4 linked regions of the Drosophila melanogaster genome follow. The protein of the gene in region 4 interacts with the protein of the main gene of each other region in a pairwise test. Each region holds a gene or a part of one and is shown on either strand. Other genes may lie near its edges.

Region 1 (4,424 bases), 670 kb from region 4:
AATATTGATTTTCAACGCCCCCCTCCATTAATTCGACTTTGTGCGGGATGCAGATACTTCATACTTCATTGGCAGATATGTAGGTGGATAGGTGTTTTCGATACCCAATGCGCACCTGCACCTTCCGATTCGTGTCAGTTTATTCAGGTAGATTGCTGAGCTGAGCTGAGCTGAGCTGTGCTGCGTGTTTACTCTGCTCCAGCAGGCAGCCAATTCATTAGCTGTTCCTACTTCGCCTTTGCTGCAAATGGAAGGAAAGACAACATGAATGCTGCACACAGTGCGTGTGCACCGAGAGATGCTGATGAAGAGTCATCCCTTTTGGCCACACCATAGAATAACCGAACGCAGCGTAGTCATACATATACCAGCTTATATTCCGGGCCAATTGCTTTGCTGCGCTTTTGTCTTTTCAATTACGGACGAGCTTCAAAGTCAAACTTTTGTGCAATTATACTGGAAGACAATTTGCCCTGTCTCGATTTTTATGAGCGCACAAAAAGTTTTCCACCAACGGAATAGGAACTTTTCCCCGGCAACAGTTTCCATTTCGCTGTTGTTTTCCCTTCAAGACAGTTGATTTTTAATTTCGTGTCGGCGGTTCCCAGCTTCATTACTTCATTTCAACGGGGGAAATATTTGACGGGTTAAAGCAAAACTTTGCCGCTCTGAAGTAAAGCTGCTGCTGTTGAAGATGCTGACCCTCCTCCTTTCTTGGAAATGGACACCACAGCAGCGGGGGCTGCTAATGAAACAGGAGCTTCCGTACAGGACACCGGATCCGAGAACCCGGAATCTGATGATAAGGTCAGCGGACTTGGTCGTAAAGAGGCGGCGGCCATAAAAGCCAATTGCTGGTGAAAATGTTGTTTCCTTTTTTTTTCCCCCGAACCGAGCTGGCGACAAACGTGGCACTTTCGTTTATCAGGGTGGCCGGCCTTGAGTTCGGGTTCGGGATATTAATAAACATGTCTTCAGAGTCCACGCTCCGTTGGCAGGACATTATTCTTGACTGCCCTCCAATTCGGGATCCTTTGTGGGGTTAATGTGGTCGCTCATTAGTGGGGTAATTGGCAGCTAATTGGCTTGATGAGTACCAGTCATCTTGATTCATCGTGATTGGCCCGGCCATGGATGAGTCTTGTCTTCGAAAAATATGAACTTAAGTTTCAGATTCCTATGGGAGTTCTACTCGAAGCTTTTAAATTGATATCAGGTACTTTTCTGCGCCATCTCACGCTGCGAAAATGTAATCAAAGTTTGCTGATTAAAGTGAAAATGTGCAGAAATTATGAATCAATTTTCCGAAGACGACGACAAGCGAAGTGCAAAGTCATCAGTGAGCTGCGAAAGTGGCATCCAGAGTTTTAGCCGCCAATCACGGAAATTTGCATAGTTCTTCGCGCTTTTAACTATGGACTACGGATGGAAAAACCAGGTCAAATCCCTTGAAAGGTGTGGACGTAAAAGTGCCAGCCATTTCGATGTCCATATTGCATTTTTACTTTGGCTATTAATACATTTTCACTCAGTAAATTCCACATTATTGAATTAAATTAATCCTGCCGCTGTCGATTTTATTTTAAATATATTCATTGGCAACAAACGGTTGATATGTTGGTTTTTGTGTGCAGCAATGATATTATTAATACTTCGGATTATATTGTTTTGATGTGGATAAACACATCACCAACATTTTTTCGAGTCAAAAGTAATGAAATTAAATTGGCTTGCCATTTGATTGAATTGGAAAAATATGGCTGCCAAGTAGGCTACAACACAATCTATCAAAGAAACTTAGATCCGGAACTCAGTTCATTTTTATACTCCTAGTGTCTGGATGTTATCAAAGATTTCAGTAGTTTTTAAAGGAATCGGTTCGTGTTTGATCAGCAGTAAAGGCCACACAACGAGGAGTTTTACGTATATTTTTTACCAACCATGGATAGCACGTCAGCCAGCGTAGTGTATACGAATTCTTTTTACGCTCCAAATTACTCGGACACCCAGCAGCCACAGCCACAGCTGCAGACTCAGCAACAGATGTTCCATGCCAACTACATCGTCGGAACCACATTGGGTTCTGGATTGGGATTTAATTTTGCACCAGCCCCCATTCCCCAGGCGAGTGCCGCTTCCGGTTTGAGTCCCAGAGGCATGTACAGTGATCTCTACCGCTACGAGGATGGAAGCGGCGATGCCAGCGGTTCCTTGCTTCTGGTCCAAGAGGATGACCACTTCTGTGGTGCAGAGGCGGACCAGCAGTTGGTGGCCAGCACGTCGTCCTCATGCCCGATGGCGAGTTCAGGCGAGTCCGTGAGCATTGACACAGAGCAGGAGGCGGAACGGGATCTTCAGATGAACCAATGTGAGACGCTGGAGCGGGAAGAGCTGAATGGAGATATAGGGGAAATGGGGGAAATGGAGGAGCTTGCAGAGGAGGTTAATGGCGAGCAGAGGCCGCCGCTGTTACCCTGCATGGGTGGCAACACATCCTACATGGTGTTCCCGCGCACCGCCGCCGACTACATGCCCCGCCTGGCGCTCCCGCGGCATAGGCCCTATATAAGCATCGGTCAGGAGCAGTACGTGATCCAGGCGGAAACTGTCTTCGTGCTGGGCATGCGCCTCAATGTGACCAAGAACGACATCATCCTGTTCTTCGGCAAAGTGGGCGTTATCAAGATGGACGAGTCGACCAACAAGCCGAAGATCTTCGTCTACAAGAACAAGATAACGGGGCGCTCCAAGGGTGAGGCCACTATAACCTATGTGAGTCCATTCTCTGCACAGGCGGCGATTAGTTGTCTGAGTGGGGCCAAGTTCATGGGACAGGTGATCACCGTTCTGCCCGCCTACCTATCCACCCGGAGGGGCAGTGTCCGGTACAGTTATCCGCGAGAGCTTAATGCGCCGGAGCACCAACGTCGCCAGCGGGCAATGAAATGGAAGCCAGCCATCGACAATTGGGTGTGCATGCTCTGCCGGAACAGCAACTTCGTCTGGCGTTCCAGCTGCAACAGATGCCAGGCGGACAAGGTGGTCGCTCCTCAGAATAACGAGGGAAGTTCCTGGGCGGGATCACGCGAAGAGGACGGTGCCCCTCGTCGTTGGCGGCCATACAGGAACGACTGGCTGTGCAAGATTTGCTATAATATGAATTTCTGGTACCGAGCGAAGTGCAATCGTTGCCACGCCCTGCGTTCCGATGAAATGAAGAGCTCCGAGTCGACGGAGGAAGATACCTGGGAGCTGGTTCTGAATCCGCCCATTGCAGAGTAGAAACAGTCCAGTCCACCTCGTTCTGTCTGTGTCTGTGTCTGTATCTATACGTGTTATCTGTTTTGTGTATCCGCATCTTTTTGTACGAAGGACACTTCTGCCTTCTGCATCCTGCTCCTTCCGGACTTCTAAAAATTTCAAGTGATTGGAACGCGAACTGCGTCGTGATATCCAGATGCAACTTCAATTGAATTGAATCGATTCGATGCGATGCCCATGAGCTTGTGAGCCCCATCCAAGAACAGCAAGAGCCAAGAACAAAAGACACCTAAATTCCTGTTAATGCCCGTCTTAGAAAAAGGCGTTTGAATGCAATGCCGCCACCATATACCCGCCGAACCAGTCTTTGTCCCCAGAGCAGAGATCCTCAGATTGCGGGACAATGCAACTTGCTGAATGGTAATCCACTTAATCCGGGTAACTGAATATTTTACCCAGGCACAAAAGGCAACCGGACCCACCTGGCCAGCTCTAAACGTTTAATGAATTTATTTACTTTCCCGACGCGTGCAGTCAGTGGCTCAGTGGCTCATTGGCTCTGCGGAACTGCACTGTAAATCGAAATATTATATTCAATGAAGTCTAAATTGTTTAATAAAATTAATCTTCTATTCATTTATTTATAGAAAGGGTGAACTCGTGGCTTTAAACTATCACAATGAAATTTCAAAATTTCTGAATCCCCCACAGCAAATCCTTGACTCAGATTGTTTTCTGTGTGCAGTGGCATCAAGCCACTTGAATCCATGTCCCACAAGTCGCTCGCCAGCCCCATCCTCCTACTCCTCCTTTCTATCTACCTCGTCCTTTTCTGTCATGTGATTTAATCAAACTTTGCGTCAGCCGAATCTGTGCCACAACAGCTTGGCTGGTTGGTAGATGGTGCGGCTGGTGAGTTGCTCTTTTGGCTGCACCCGCAGTTGCGGCTGCCCTCGTCTGCCGCATGCCACGCCCCCCTGCTCCATTCACCAGTTCACCAGAGGCGGCGCCTGGCAGACTTTGTGTTGTGCATTTACTTTGCACTTTCTTCCACGCGAGCGGACAAGGCACCTGGTGGGAGCTGTGGAGTGTGGAGTCCGGAGTCCGGAGTCCATCGTCCCTAGTCCATAGTCCATAGTCGGTTGTGCTTGGTCTGCCGCCTG
Region 2 (4,795 bases), on a different chromosome or scaffold from region 4:
TAAATATTTATGCCCGAGATGCCCGCATCTAGAATCATCCACGGACGCCAAACTGGGTCAGCGGTCGGAAAAAGCGGGTGGAACATAAGCCCGGATAGAGACAGCGAAATATTGAGGAGGATAGTCAACCGAGGATTTATGTAAGCCGAACTAACGCCCTGGAATCTGCTGGAGCCAGGGTAATGACAGCTTCGATCCCGATTCGGCCTCTTAGGATGGGACCACAGATTCATGCAGATAGCTATAAAACGGTTGTTGAGACTGCTTAAGAATATATATATTTTATATTGCAAACTATTGACTAAAGTCAATATACAATCGGCAGGGAAAAAGTATAGAATATTGTTAAAGTAGGCGGGGCTACTACATTTTCATAAGGCACTGTTCGAAATTAGTTTTCTTGGAACGCTCAGAGAGTAAATGTTAAGCACAAATAATTTAGGCTACTGTAAGTTTAGAGCGACAAGATGATCGATATTTTGTCGCTGCCGCGGCGAAATAAGGTGTCCGGAAACCCGGCCCTGCTAAAGATGATCTCCTACAAGACTGGACTACCCATCAACAGTCTACCCGGATGGGAGCTGATCCCTCTTAATTGCAAGCTGCCAATGCTCAAATGTCCCGGCAATCAGGTCATATTCTCCAAGAACAAGATCGGACAGGACGTAAGTGCTACCAGTAGAAAATCAGCTAGAACCTTACTTTATCATCATCATTCATACATATCCACCAGTTCAAGAGCGGTAAACAGGAGTTTGAGTGTTCCGTTACCGAACACATCCCGGAGTACAATCCGCTACACGACTCCAACCTAAAGACGTTCTACTCCAATGAGCGTAATCTGAAGCGGTTGAGGGAAAACGGTGAGATAACGCAGGACAACGATGTAATATGCAATCTGAAGGACTTCAATCAGCATCGCCAGGAGCTGCACAAATCGCAGTTGTACTACATTTTGCAGGCATACAAGCGGCGCGAGTCGGAGCAATATGATCGAATGCTGATCGCCAACGCGGAGTCCATCACAAAAAAGGATCACCAGAATCTCGCAGCCCGTCACCAGTGCACTGAGGAGGTTCTTGCCAGAAAGAAACTACAGGAGCAGGAACGCCACGAAAGAAAGGTCCATCTGCTGAATATCACATATGAGAAGTTTAAGCGCTTAGAGAACCTGGCCACCATGCAGAATATGTTGCTGGAGCACCGCAAGATGCTGACAAACATGCGTGTAGCTGCCCACATAAGCATGTGCCAGGATTTGATGAGAAAGCTATTGATCAAACAGAAGAAGCTCTTCCAGTTCAAAAAGGATCGGTTCAACAAAAACATGCGAATCCTGAGGAAACAACGGCTGGTAAAGAACACTGAGCACCAGATTCAGTCGTGGAGGAAGCGACTTGATGAGCGAATTGCTAATCAGCGTAGGATCGAATACCTCCTGCAGGAGGTGGAAAAAGAGCGAGAGGCGTTTATAGACAGGCACAAGGCTCATTACAGAGAAAAGTGGCAACGGATTCAGGACGAGATTAAGGAAAGAGCTCAAAAGGCCATCACTGCTCGTCAGCCCAAAAGAAAGCGCCGCAAGAAGAAGAAGTCGACACTTCAGGAACGCAAGCCATCATTCTGCGATGAGTATCAGGCCACCTTTGAGGGATTGTTAGACAGTGATCTTTGTTACGCCTTGAATGCAGCCATTGCCATGGAGGGTCAGACCGCTCTCAGCTTCGCACCAGACGACCCCATCTATAAGGCGGCACAATATATACTGGACTACATAATTTCTGGTTTAAACGACGATCTCAGCGAGGATGAGTGTGCCTTGCAGGTGCTGATCTCGCGCATTAAGGATTTTGTCTGCGATGCAAAGAAATATGTGCACTACGTAAGTGTTAATAGCAGTCCCTCTTGACATACCACTAATTCATTCCGCCTGCAGAAAGCTTATCAGATCATTGGATTCGCCAGAGACCACAAAGCCATGGAAGTGCCTCCGTCGATGGCCAAACAGCCGAAAAACCACTCGCGCGCCTCCCATGTATCATTTAGCGGTGTAGCCAGCACCATTGGCGTGGGCAGCTACGAGATTCATCCGTTCGTGGACGTCCGCCCGTGCAGCGAACGTCGGGCCACTCCGGCGGGATCATTAGCCTCTCTGGTTGTCAGCCAGATCGGCGAACAGGTAATACAGGACAAGGTGCGCCTGCCGCATCTAAATCGCAACCAGATCGTGTTCATAGAGCACTACCTGGTGAAGTTTAAGCGGGATCTATTGGTGGGTCTGGACAAGCTGGTATTTGCAGCGATTCAGTGCCACTTTGAAAACCGTATGATGGAGGTACGAGAGGAGCTCCTTCTGCTTGACAGGAACTATTTGTTCGAGCAGATTGCCAGGGGTATCCTCAGCTATGCGGTTAATCCGCTCAACTATCAGTCGGTGCTTAAGCTGGCCGTGAGCGTCCAGTCGTGTGAAATCATCTGGGAGCTGCAGCAGACGATGCTCAAGCCAGGCATCGATCCCCGGGGCCAGAATCACCCAGTGTCCTGCGGCACCGAGCAGGAACGCGAGACCCTGGCTCTCTGCATACCCTAGGATCCTGTCAAGCAGACAGGGCAAGGAAAATTGATCTTAAAGCAGGATGCCTTAGCTCTGGCGGGAAGTAGCCCTAAAAATTACTTGTATATTTCGTTTCCGAGGCACTTACATACTTCAGAGTCCAGGAATATTCATTTTCAATATGATGTCCTAAATTTATGTACTATGTTTTCTTTTATCGTTTAAAATGCTTCCTTATAAATAAGTTGAGTATAACTTTAAAAATCAGACACCTGGATCCTTTAGTTAAAAACTCAAAGCTCTTGAGATTTAATCGTAGAAAACCAATAAATTTAGGTAAATACACTTACCCAAAAGTTTTTTGCAAAGTTTTTTCACTGAGTTTCATACGTTTTTCCTAGTAAACACTATTAATTTGATTTTTTATTCAAAAGCGTGGAAGCAACAGCTGGCAAAACACAAAACCAGGGCTGCGTCGGCTGATACATTTCGATAAATAGGTCTGCCCTGGTTATCGATATTATTCCCCGGTATGTATTGTACAAAAATTAATTCAACTTCATTCTCGTTTTAAACAACAGAGGCGTAATTCCTAAATTCCGTAAATATTAAAATGAAAGAACTAAATCCATTGGTATTGAAAATGTATTTATCTTTCACGTTCCTTTACAACTAACTCACGCTATAACTATTTAGAAAAATTAAACGGAGCTCTATAAGAATACATCATGGAGTTAAAAGGGGCGCCCGGGGCGCCTAGAAGGGGAAATGGAAACACTTGAGGAGGTAGACTGGCTGCGGCCGATACGGAGGCTTTGGTGCCTCGTTTCCGCTTCTGTTTGGACACAGGAGCTGGGTGAGGCTCTTCGCTGGACTCCGAGTCATCGCTCTCGCTGCTGTCATCTTCATCTTCGTCGTCATCTTCCTCGTCATCTTCTTCGTCATGATCTTTCGGCTCCACCTTCATCCTTTTCTGTGAAGACTTCTTTATCTTTTTTATTGACGCCTTTTTGTCCTTTTTGGGTTTTGCTGAAACTGGAGCTGTGACTGTGCCAGCAGGAAATCCAAATCCTTGCTCGCAATGAAAGGCAGTCATTTGCTGCATGGCAAACTCCACAAACGACTGGATGGCAATATTTAGATTGGGCGGGTTTGGACAGTTTTTGAGACCATGATAACTACCGGAGCAATTACGACATATCATCTGACACTGGAAGGAGGTGTGGCCCTGGAAGAGATTTTTTTAAATTGGGTAACATTCTTTTAAAATATTTACCTTCTTGTCGCATATGCCACACACATCCACGGTTTTACCCTTGTTTTTTTGCTTTCTGGCCTTCTTGTCGTCTTCAGGTTCGGTGCTTTCCTCCTCATCGGTAATGGTAAACTGGCGCTCCTGAGAGCCCATGCAGACAACATCCTCCTCGGTGTTCTTTTCCATCTTTTTACTCTTTGCCGGCGGATGACTCTGTTCATCATCGGTGTCGCTGTCCGAAGTTGAGGAGTCGGAGGACGAAACTGGTTTTACAGCCTTTGGTTTCGGAGTTGATGCTACAGGTGTTTTGATGGCCTTCGCTTTTGGGGACGGCACCACCACTGCCTTAGTGTTGACTACCATTTCCCCTGGTTCGGGTTCAGACTCCTCTCCCGAAGTAGATGACGACCTAGAGGAGTTAACCTTCTTCTTTTTAGGAGATTTGGGCTCCGCTTTGACAAATTGCTTTATTTTTGACTTGTGCTCCATTTCTTTCTCCTTCTTGATATTGATTAGCGGCACAGTAGGTTCTTCTGGCGTAACAGCCACATCAGGTGGTGCAACAGATACAGGTGGTGGTGGCGTCAAGTCCGCAGCGAAAGTAACAGGTGGCAGGCTCTCCTGTCTGAGAGAGGAGGGAGCAGGCGAGGATCGAGGCAGAGGTGGGTCTTCGGTAAAGTCCCCCACATTATCGAAGTACAGCATGTTACTTTGGCCAGGACTAACATGCTGATCCTTAGGTTGCCACGAGTTGTTACGGCCACCACGCCTATTGGAATCTCTGCCGCGGTTCCCTCGCCTGCCACCCCAACCACCACCTCCTCCGCCACCGCCTCTATTTCTTCGGCCCCCTCTCTTGTTTGGCTGATGATTATCCAGCTCCTGTTGGGGATCTCTGAACTTGTTAAACGCGTTTCCATTCTGCCCACCTTCCGATCCAGCGTCTGGCCAGTTTCCATTGGCGGCGCGATTTTGGCTGTGGCTGC
Region 3 (3,749 bases), on a different chromosome or scaffold from region 4:
TCTGAAATATACTAACATTATTGAAAATTTCCTATAAGTCAAGTAAACATTTCGGAAGTGCTACTAATGTTTTGTAACTTGTTTTGTCTTTTGTGATGGTTAAAGGGTTTTTAAAAGGCAACATCTTTAATTATTTTCTTTCGATTCTTTAACTCTACTGACTACATTGTGCATATTCGTATTGATCCCCTTGAACCGAAACCCTGGTACGCCCCTGGTTCATTCGAAACATCCATCACTTTTTGCTGCGAAGTGAAAGAGGATGAAGGATATAGGATGCAGATGCAGGTTACAGGATGGAACTTTTAAGATATGGTATGTGGGATGCAATCATCTAGAGTGGGCAAAACAAAAAAAGAACACTTCAGATGCGGAAACCGCAATGAATACACTGCGACATCTGCAAGGGGCGTGGCAGTGCGCCCAATTGGAAGCAATTAATCCCACAAACCAAATGGCAAGCGAAAAAAGCAAAGTTCTTTGCGAGCTCTTATTTCTGAGTTCATAACAAATATCCTGTTAAGAAGGCACCGTGTCAGTTAATTTACTGTAATTTATTAAAGTTTACACTCGAAAAAAAACCTATGTTCTATTTGGATGAGTAAGTGGATTCGGTCTTCTTGATATTGAGAACGCCGTTGGAATCGGTGGCACCCTGGATGTTGGTCACCTTCTGGTTGCCACTGGCATCGACAACGGCCACGGTCTGCTGGATTTGGGTGGCGGGAATGGGTCCAACTCCGGAGATGTGCTGATAGCTACCGGTGCTTCCTACTCCGCTGTTGCTGCTGATGGAGGCTGCGCTGGTGTAGCCATTGTAGGTGGGATAATAGTTGTCGCCTCCAGTTAAGGAGCTCTCGCCGAAACGCTCATCAAAGGACACACCACTGGAAATTAAAACGATCATTAGTGATCATCAATAGAAGTCCTCATTTTCCAGTTAACTCACCCAAGCACTGGAGCAGCGGCCTGCTGGGTGTAAGAGGAGCCAGAATGACCGGAGCCATCGGCATTCTGAACGCTGTGTGAGGCGTAGGTGAAGACGTTTCCTCCACTGGAGGACGAGGAGGATGATGACGAGGAAGACGAACTGGACTGACGACGCAGACGCCTCAGGAGATGGGCATTCACGGGATGGACATTCGACTGGTGGCCCTCCGAGTCCAAGGTGAAGAAGGCACGGGGCAGAAACTGGCCAGCTGTATGAATAAAGAGCAATGAATTCAGCGATAAGTATCTGAAATCTATGAATATAGCTTTAAAGCTTAGATTTCGTTCACATCTCGCCCTTATTTACCACGATTAAATATTTTATGAACTTTTACTATTGAATTTATTTTTAATATTATGAAAACCTTTGAATAATTACATATACTTAGCATATATACCATGCAGATTTATTCCAAGTTTTTTATGATAATGCTAATCCCAAAAGTATGCTTATAAATCTCAAACATTCAACAATGGCAATTTCTTTTTTGAGTGTGAAAGTTTGTCCACTCAGCGATCGCGTGAATAATCAAACGTAATGCTGATTTTGAATAGCCATATTTTAGGAATCGTAATAAAAAGCGAATTTGTTGTGCGGAAAGTTTTGCTGGACAAACATTGTCGCAAAGTTAATGAGCTACGCGAATTTCACAAACCAGTTTGGGTTTCCGGATGGGTTCGATAGGTTTTTGGGTATTATTAACATACTAGCACCCGTCGACCGACTTGTTAATTCAATTAATAATAAACACGATAGCAGCTCCGACTAGCGATGATGTAAGTGCACAATCCGGCTTAAGCTCTCCTCAAATTATACTCAAATTTGCTTTTTTGCTCACCGGAAGAGGCCGAAGCGGTAGTAATCGCAAACAAAGCGATGGCAATCACAGCGTACTTCATTGTGAAGCGGTATGGATCTGTAAGAACACACACTTCGTCACTTAGTAGGGTTAATTCAGCGGTTAGGGGTATGCAGAGGGGCCTATCTGCGGTTAAGCACTCACAAAGACGAAACGAAAGACTGAGGCAGCGAACGCGTGAAAAGTTCCAAAACGACTAAGCTCGCGGTGCGGCTCCCTAGCGCTTATATATGGAAATTTCGAATGCTGACGCAGTGCGAACCATCTACATCATTATCATCTAAAGCTGGAAGAACAAGCAGAAGCCGTCAAACAGGCAGAAGAGTTGGGCAAATAACTCCACCGGTAGGTAGACTGAACAATAAACAAATACAGAAAAAAAAACAAGAGGCAGGCATTTAAAGTTTCTTAAAACCTCTGGCTGTGGCTCATAAACGTAAAGTTAGGCTCAATGATTCATAAGGTTAAATACTATCACATCTCTCAGTTAATTTCCCCTCTCTGCAGCAGAGTTTATCTCACATATAAATCCACCCAAAAAGTTAATGATTATGGGAAATAAACACATGACGAAGCAGCGAAGCGCCAACGGGGAATTTCTGTTCTGTTTGTTTTCACTTTATTTGTATTTCGCATTATATATTCGAACGCCAAACTGTTTTGGCCAGCTCGTGTAAATTGGCCAAGTGCCCTCGCTTTTTCTTATTGTACTTTTTTTGTACCCAGTCTGCGCCTTGAGCTCTGCTTTTGACCCGATTCGTGTTTTTGGCAATAAAGAACTTCTCGAACTTCTTCTCTTGGGCTTGGGGCAATAACCTGATTACAACGTGGCCAACACCTAACAAACGGAGTTTCAGAGAAATATTATGCATTATACATACATTGCCGATCATAAAGCTAAACTATATATACTCATTTGTTTAATGGCTGGCATGCGTCCACTAATTATAATATTTTGTGAATTTTAATAATATTATGCCTCGCTCGGTTTTACCGCTCCATCTGTTTGAAACAAAACTGGTTTTGATGGGATTTTCGATTGATCTTGCTCGACGAAATGAAAACAAATTTTGTTATTTAATTTTACATTATCATATATGTATATTCCAGGAAATCCTTTCAATTAACCGGTTATTTGGGGATTATTGTTTTTAATTGCCTAAAATAAATCTAAGGCTTTGATCAATCAAGAAATAATTGAAGACAAGTTGTGCAACACAAATTATATTGCATATACACATTTTGCACGTTTTGCTGATAGAAGTAGGGTATTTCTAACAAGTACAATTAAATAGACATATGTACTTTTTTCAGTAAAATATTACCAATTTTTCACGCACTACTTAAGCCAATCTACCACCTTAATTCCGTTTTTTTTCTTTTGAACACATGAAAAAATTCAATTCCTTAGATTTATATTAATCTAATTGAAATCCACAAATTTGTTGCCATTTGTTGTGCAGAAGTATTTTTGAATTTCGCACACGTTCGTTGGCAAAAATATGTACAAATATTGAATACGAAAAAGTCAAGGAAAAATTCCATTCTTTTTCTCGCAAAAATGGTGACAGAGCAAAATGCTGACCGCCGCCTACTAGGAAAAATAATCCCCAGCCGATTTGAACGATTTATTATTTGGCCCAGCCAACTCGGAGCCTGTCCCGGAATACCCGGAACCATTAATCATCCGAGTCCAGATCCAAGTCCGAGTCCGAGTGGTGGACAGGCGGCATTGCAATTGGTGGACATTTTGGAGTGGAAGAAACTTTTGCGGTACGTGGCAACGTGTTGAAATTACAAAATGTGTTAAAAAATGAAAGAGCAGGGCGGGTAAAAAGCAAAATAATATATTTCATTCACACACAGACTTTTGTCTCTGCTCCGCCGTCCATATAAAAA
Region 4 (3,776 bases):
GGTGCCCATAATATATAAAATATGTCGAGATTTGCTTCCTTTTAAATGAATAATTTAACTTGGTAATTTTCCACTTTGTTATCTACCGTTAAAAGCTTTTTGAAGAACAAGAAATTACAAGAGCTGCCTTTCTGATGAAAATTTCAGAACCAAAACGAAATTCACTCTAAGTTTCTAATCTATTTCACCAATGAATTTAAGTCTGATAATTTCTCACTTTTTCCTTACAGATTTTCAAGCTTCTTTTTTGAGGCCTTCACCACATAAAACTAACGAGCATCGCGAAAATATTCTATCTTTTATTATCTTTTTTTGTTTGCCTCTCGATTCGGAGAGATTTAGCAAAAGAGGAAAGAGAATCACCCCTGGCATCAAAGAGAAAATAACGAGCATCAAGAGAGCCCACTTATTCAATTGCAGTCCCTATCCACAATATCCACTATCCACATACACATAGTAATATATGTAAATGTACACCCATCTAAAAACAAACTCATTTGTATTTTGTGCATTCAAAAAAAAGAACACTTATTTATTGTCTTTGGAGACAGGCGAATTTGGAATTGTTGTTTGTGAACGTGAATATAAATACTACATCATATGTACGGGTATAAAAACGTGAATATCAGGCTTATTCGAAGTACTTCTTGAACTCCAGGCATCCGGCCCAGTTCTCCTCCCATCCGGGAGTCACCTTCTTGGCGTTCTCGTACCACCTGTTCACATTGGCGTACTTGCTGATCTCGAATTTGGCCACCTCGAATGTGGACACGGTTGCCACCAGGGCAATGTCGGCTACGGTAAGGGAGTCACCGGCGGCGTAGTCCTGTCCCTCCAGGAAGGTGTTCAGGAACTCGAAGGCGGCCTCGATCTTCTTGAAGGCCTCTGGATCGGCGGGCGCCTTGGCGAACACCTGTGGGTAGTAGTAGTTGGCGAAGCTCTGGTACAGCGTTCCCATGTCGAAGTACAGGCGCTGATTGATCACGGCGCGCTTCTTGGGGCACTTAGGGTACAGGGAGTCGGTCTTGCCGTACTTCTCCACCAAATACACCTGGATGGCGCGGGACTCCCACAGCGCGAATCCGTTGTCCACCAGCGTGGGAATGGTGTGCTGGGGATTGATCTTCAGGAACTCCGGCTTCAGGTGCTCACCGGCCTGCAGGTTGAGCAGCTTCTTGTTCAGCTCGACGCCCACGGCCTTGGCGGTCATGATCACGGAGCGGCAGGGGGAGGAGCCGGGCAGGTAGTAGAAGTCAACCATTTTACTGTAGAAGTTCGAAGAACTATCATTTAGTTACAGTGCTCGCAATAAATAATTTGTAGCCAACTTGTTAAGAAATATTATTATCTTCGCTAATTTCTAACCAACGGTTATTTAAAAGCTTAGGGCATTCATTTGTATTTCTAATTTGGGTTTTAAATGGAAGAAGAATCAAGTTGAAAAGAAACTGAAAACAATTGTGAGTCCGCCATATTTGATTGGAGTGAACAAATCTCCAACTTCTTTTCAAATTTAGATGTGAGCACCAAACTTTTTCAAGCATATCCACAAGCGTCGCATTCATATTTAAATTAACAATCTCCCCCTTCTTGAGACCCAAATTGCTTCTGTATTATACACATTATCCATATGGCATGCAAACAGAATAGATCTGGATGCTAGAAAGATATGCCACAATTAGACGCGCTCTATAATTACAAGTTCAGCAAAAGCGGACTTTAATTGGGCCGCCATTACAGAAGTTCACTTGGCTATGATGTCATATCGGGGCTATAATACGTTCAAATGTTGGTAATTTTCCATGCTGCCAATATTTCCTTTTATTTTTGACCAAACACAGGCACACAATCACAAAACACAATATATATAGAAATTGCTGTGGGGAACTTACATTTTTTTCTTCTGTTGTGAAACTCGCGATGTACACTGTATCAAATGAAAAGTAGCACTGAACGGAATTCGAAGAGCGAGCCCACTTTTATAGGGGCCGGCTGTGGTCGCCACAATGCCGGCAAACAAGAGTTGTAGCTTGAAGCGCCCCGCGGGGCGTGGCAAGGTGGGGAGAGAGGTACAGAGAGAGAGAGAGGGGGCTGCTAGTTGTTGTCGTGCCTGGGTTTTTTTTTTGTCTTCTATTATATTCTGACTTGCCCACACATACCCACTAATGGCGGGCAAAAATGTGACGTTAGCGGCGTGATTAATACACTGTTGTGTGGCCATGGGTGTGTGGAGACGATTGATAGTGTGTGTGTGCGTGCTCTGGAGGAGGTTGCACTCTATCCGTTCCCTCATACACCTCCACCATACCCCCGCAAAAGAAAGCTGCAACTTTCTAATGATCCTCCATTGGAACGAAGCCTTTTACTCGCTTAAGAACAAATTTTGTTACATTTCTTTATAATTTCTGATTTTAACAAACAGATAACAAAGAAGATACAATCCTGCCATACAGGTATTATTAATCGTAGGGTATTTACACATCGACTTGCTAAGATTAGCAAACACATAAGCATGCAATCGATTAGCTTGAAACACAATTTTGCATTTCTAATGAACATCTGTGCGCCTGAAAAAACATAAATTCTTTTAAAATGCAAAAAAAAATAAGTACAAACAAATAAGCAGGCAAACAGAAACCAGATAAGAATTCAAGCCGGCCGGCAAACATTGATATCAGGCAAACATATATGTATGTATGTACATATGTACATATATAGCAACAGTTGTCGAGTATTTCCAACACACAAGCAAATCGCGAAAGGCTCATACCGTACTAATAAGACCATAAAAATATAACCGTTTTTCGAATTATTCAATATACTTTGACTCATAGTAATAATTTTAATGGGTAAGCCCAAGCTATGGTAGACAAATAGTAGTAGATTAAATGATGAGTCAAAGGCACATGCAAATTCGAAATTACTGGTACACATTTTCAATGTAACAATATGGATGGGCTTAGTCCATATATCGATCGACTTTTATTGTTTGTGTTTGTTATGACGGCCTTGGGTTTTAATAAGTAATTGCTGTGACCATATAACATGAAAAGGAATACTAGACTTTCATTTCTTGGAAGTATTTGATACTATCAAAGGCGAACACTTGAATATTCCTGCTACACTTCGCTGGGGGTATTTAATTTCCCCAAAACAAATTCGCTTTTATCAGTTTCACAATTCGCAATACCAACTATCAGCATGACCGGGCAAAAAAATTCAATAACAAGTAGGAAAAAATGGAAAGAGCATTTTCGTGGGCGACACGTCAAACAAATTGCGCTCTTAACGTCGAGAACAATCCACAAAACGATTGTGAAATCAAAAATTCCGAACCCCAAGTTCCGAGAGTTACTCATTTGAACATAATGCCGAAATCCAGCTGAATCATGGGAAACACGAGATCGTAAGTATAAGTTCGCCAATAACTGGTTGGGTTAATTCACCAAAAAGCCGGCCCAAAAGGTAGCGTAAAATGTAGAGAAAGGTCACTGTGTTTGCCACTGCAGATCAAAAAAACCAGTTGGACGGCATTGCCAAATGTGCGTCACAGGAAAATAAAGTGAAAAGCGCAAACTATTTAAAGAGCAAAGCCAAAGAGAATGGATAGGACGAAGAGCCCCAATAATCTCTTACCTCCACATCATCGAGATCTTCTGCCGGCCTCCCATATGAGCACATTTAGCCTACATACATCTACTTTCTCGATTCCGTTTGCCGGTGATTCGCTTTGTGTACAGCTGCGCTGATCTTTCTCCGATCTCCGCTTTAGAATA

Evidence for each region.
Region 1: the proteins of GstD1 (region 4) and CG14718 interact in a two-hybrid assay, tested with the Drosophila melanogaster proteins (one large-scale study listed by BioGRID).
Region 2: the proteins of GstD1 (region 4) and Dus1 interact in a two-hybrid assay, tested with the Drosophila melanogaster proteins (one large-scale study listed by BioGRID).
Region 3: the proteins of GstD1 (region 4) and hui interact in a two-hybrid assay, tested with the Drosophila melanogaster proteins (one large-scale study listed by BioGRID).

Annotation. Positions count from the first base shown.
Region 1 is NT_033777.3:11,698,805-11,703,228, forward strand, and holds CG14718 (uncharacterized protein), read left to right. Parts: upstream 1-1,809; 5' UTR 1,810-1,941; coding exon 1,942-3,282; 3' UTR 3,283-3,916; downstream 3,917-4,424.
Region 2 is NT_033779.5:268,725-273,519, forward strand, and holds the start of Dus1 (dihydrouridine synthase 1), read right to left. Parts: upstream 3,021-4,795; 5' UTR 2,905-3,020; intron 2,903-2,904; exon of another isoform or gene 2,591-2,902; coding exon of another isoform or gene 1,937-2,590; intron 1,883-1,936; coding exon of another isoform or gene 734-1,882; intron 666-733; coding exon of another isoform or gene 468-665; exon of another isoform or gene 364-467; intron 1-363. Other genes in the region: CG3345 (uncharacterized protein), read left to right, coding at 468-665, 734-1,882, 1,937-2,590; mbm (mushroom body miniature), read right to left, coding at 3,243-3,782, 3,831-4,795.
Region 3 is NT_033778.4:14,806,724-14,810,472, reverse strand, and holds hui (hase und igel), read right to left. Parts: upstream 2,055-3,749; 5' UTR 1,891-2,054; coding exon 1,830-1,890; intron 1,200-1,829; coding exon 950-1,199; intron 888-949; coding exon 590-887; 3' UTR 542-589; downstream 1-541. Other genes in the region: kn (knot), read left to right, coding at 3,412-3,623.
Region 4 is NT_033777.3:12,367,311-12,371,086, forward strand, and holds GstD1 (glutathione S transferase D1), read right to left. Parts: upstream 1,959-3,776; 5' UTR 1,893-1,958; intron 1,284-1,892; exon of another isoform or gene 1,266-1,283; 5' UTR 1,262-1,265; coding exon 632-1,261; 3' UTR 507-631; downstream 1-506. UniProt on the Drosophila melanogaster protein: Conjugation of reduced glutathione to a wide number of exogenous and endogenous hydrophobic electrophiles. Has DDT dehydrochlorinase activity. May be involved in detoxification.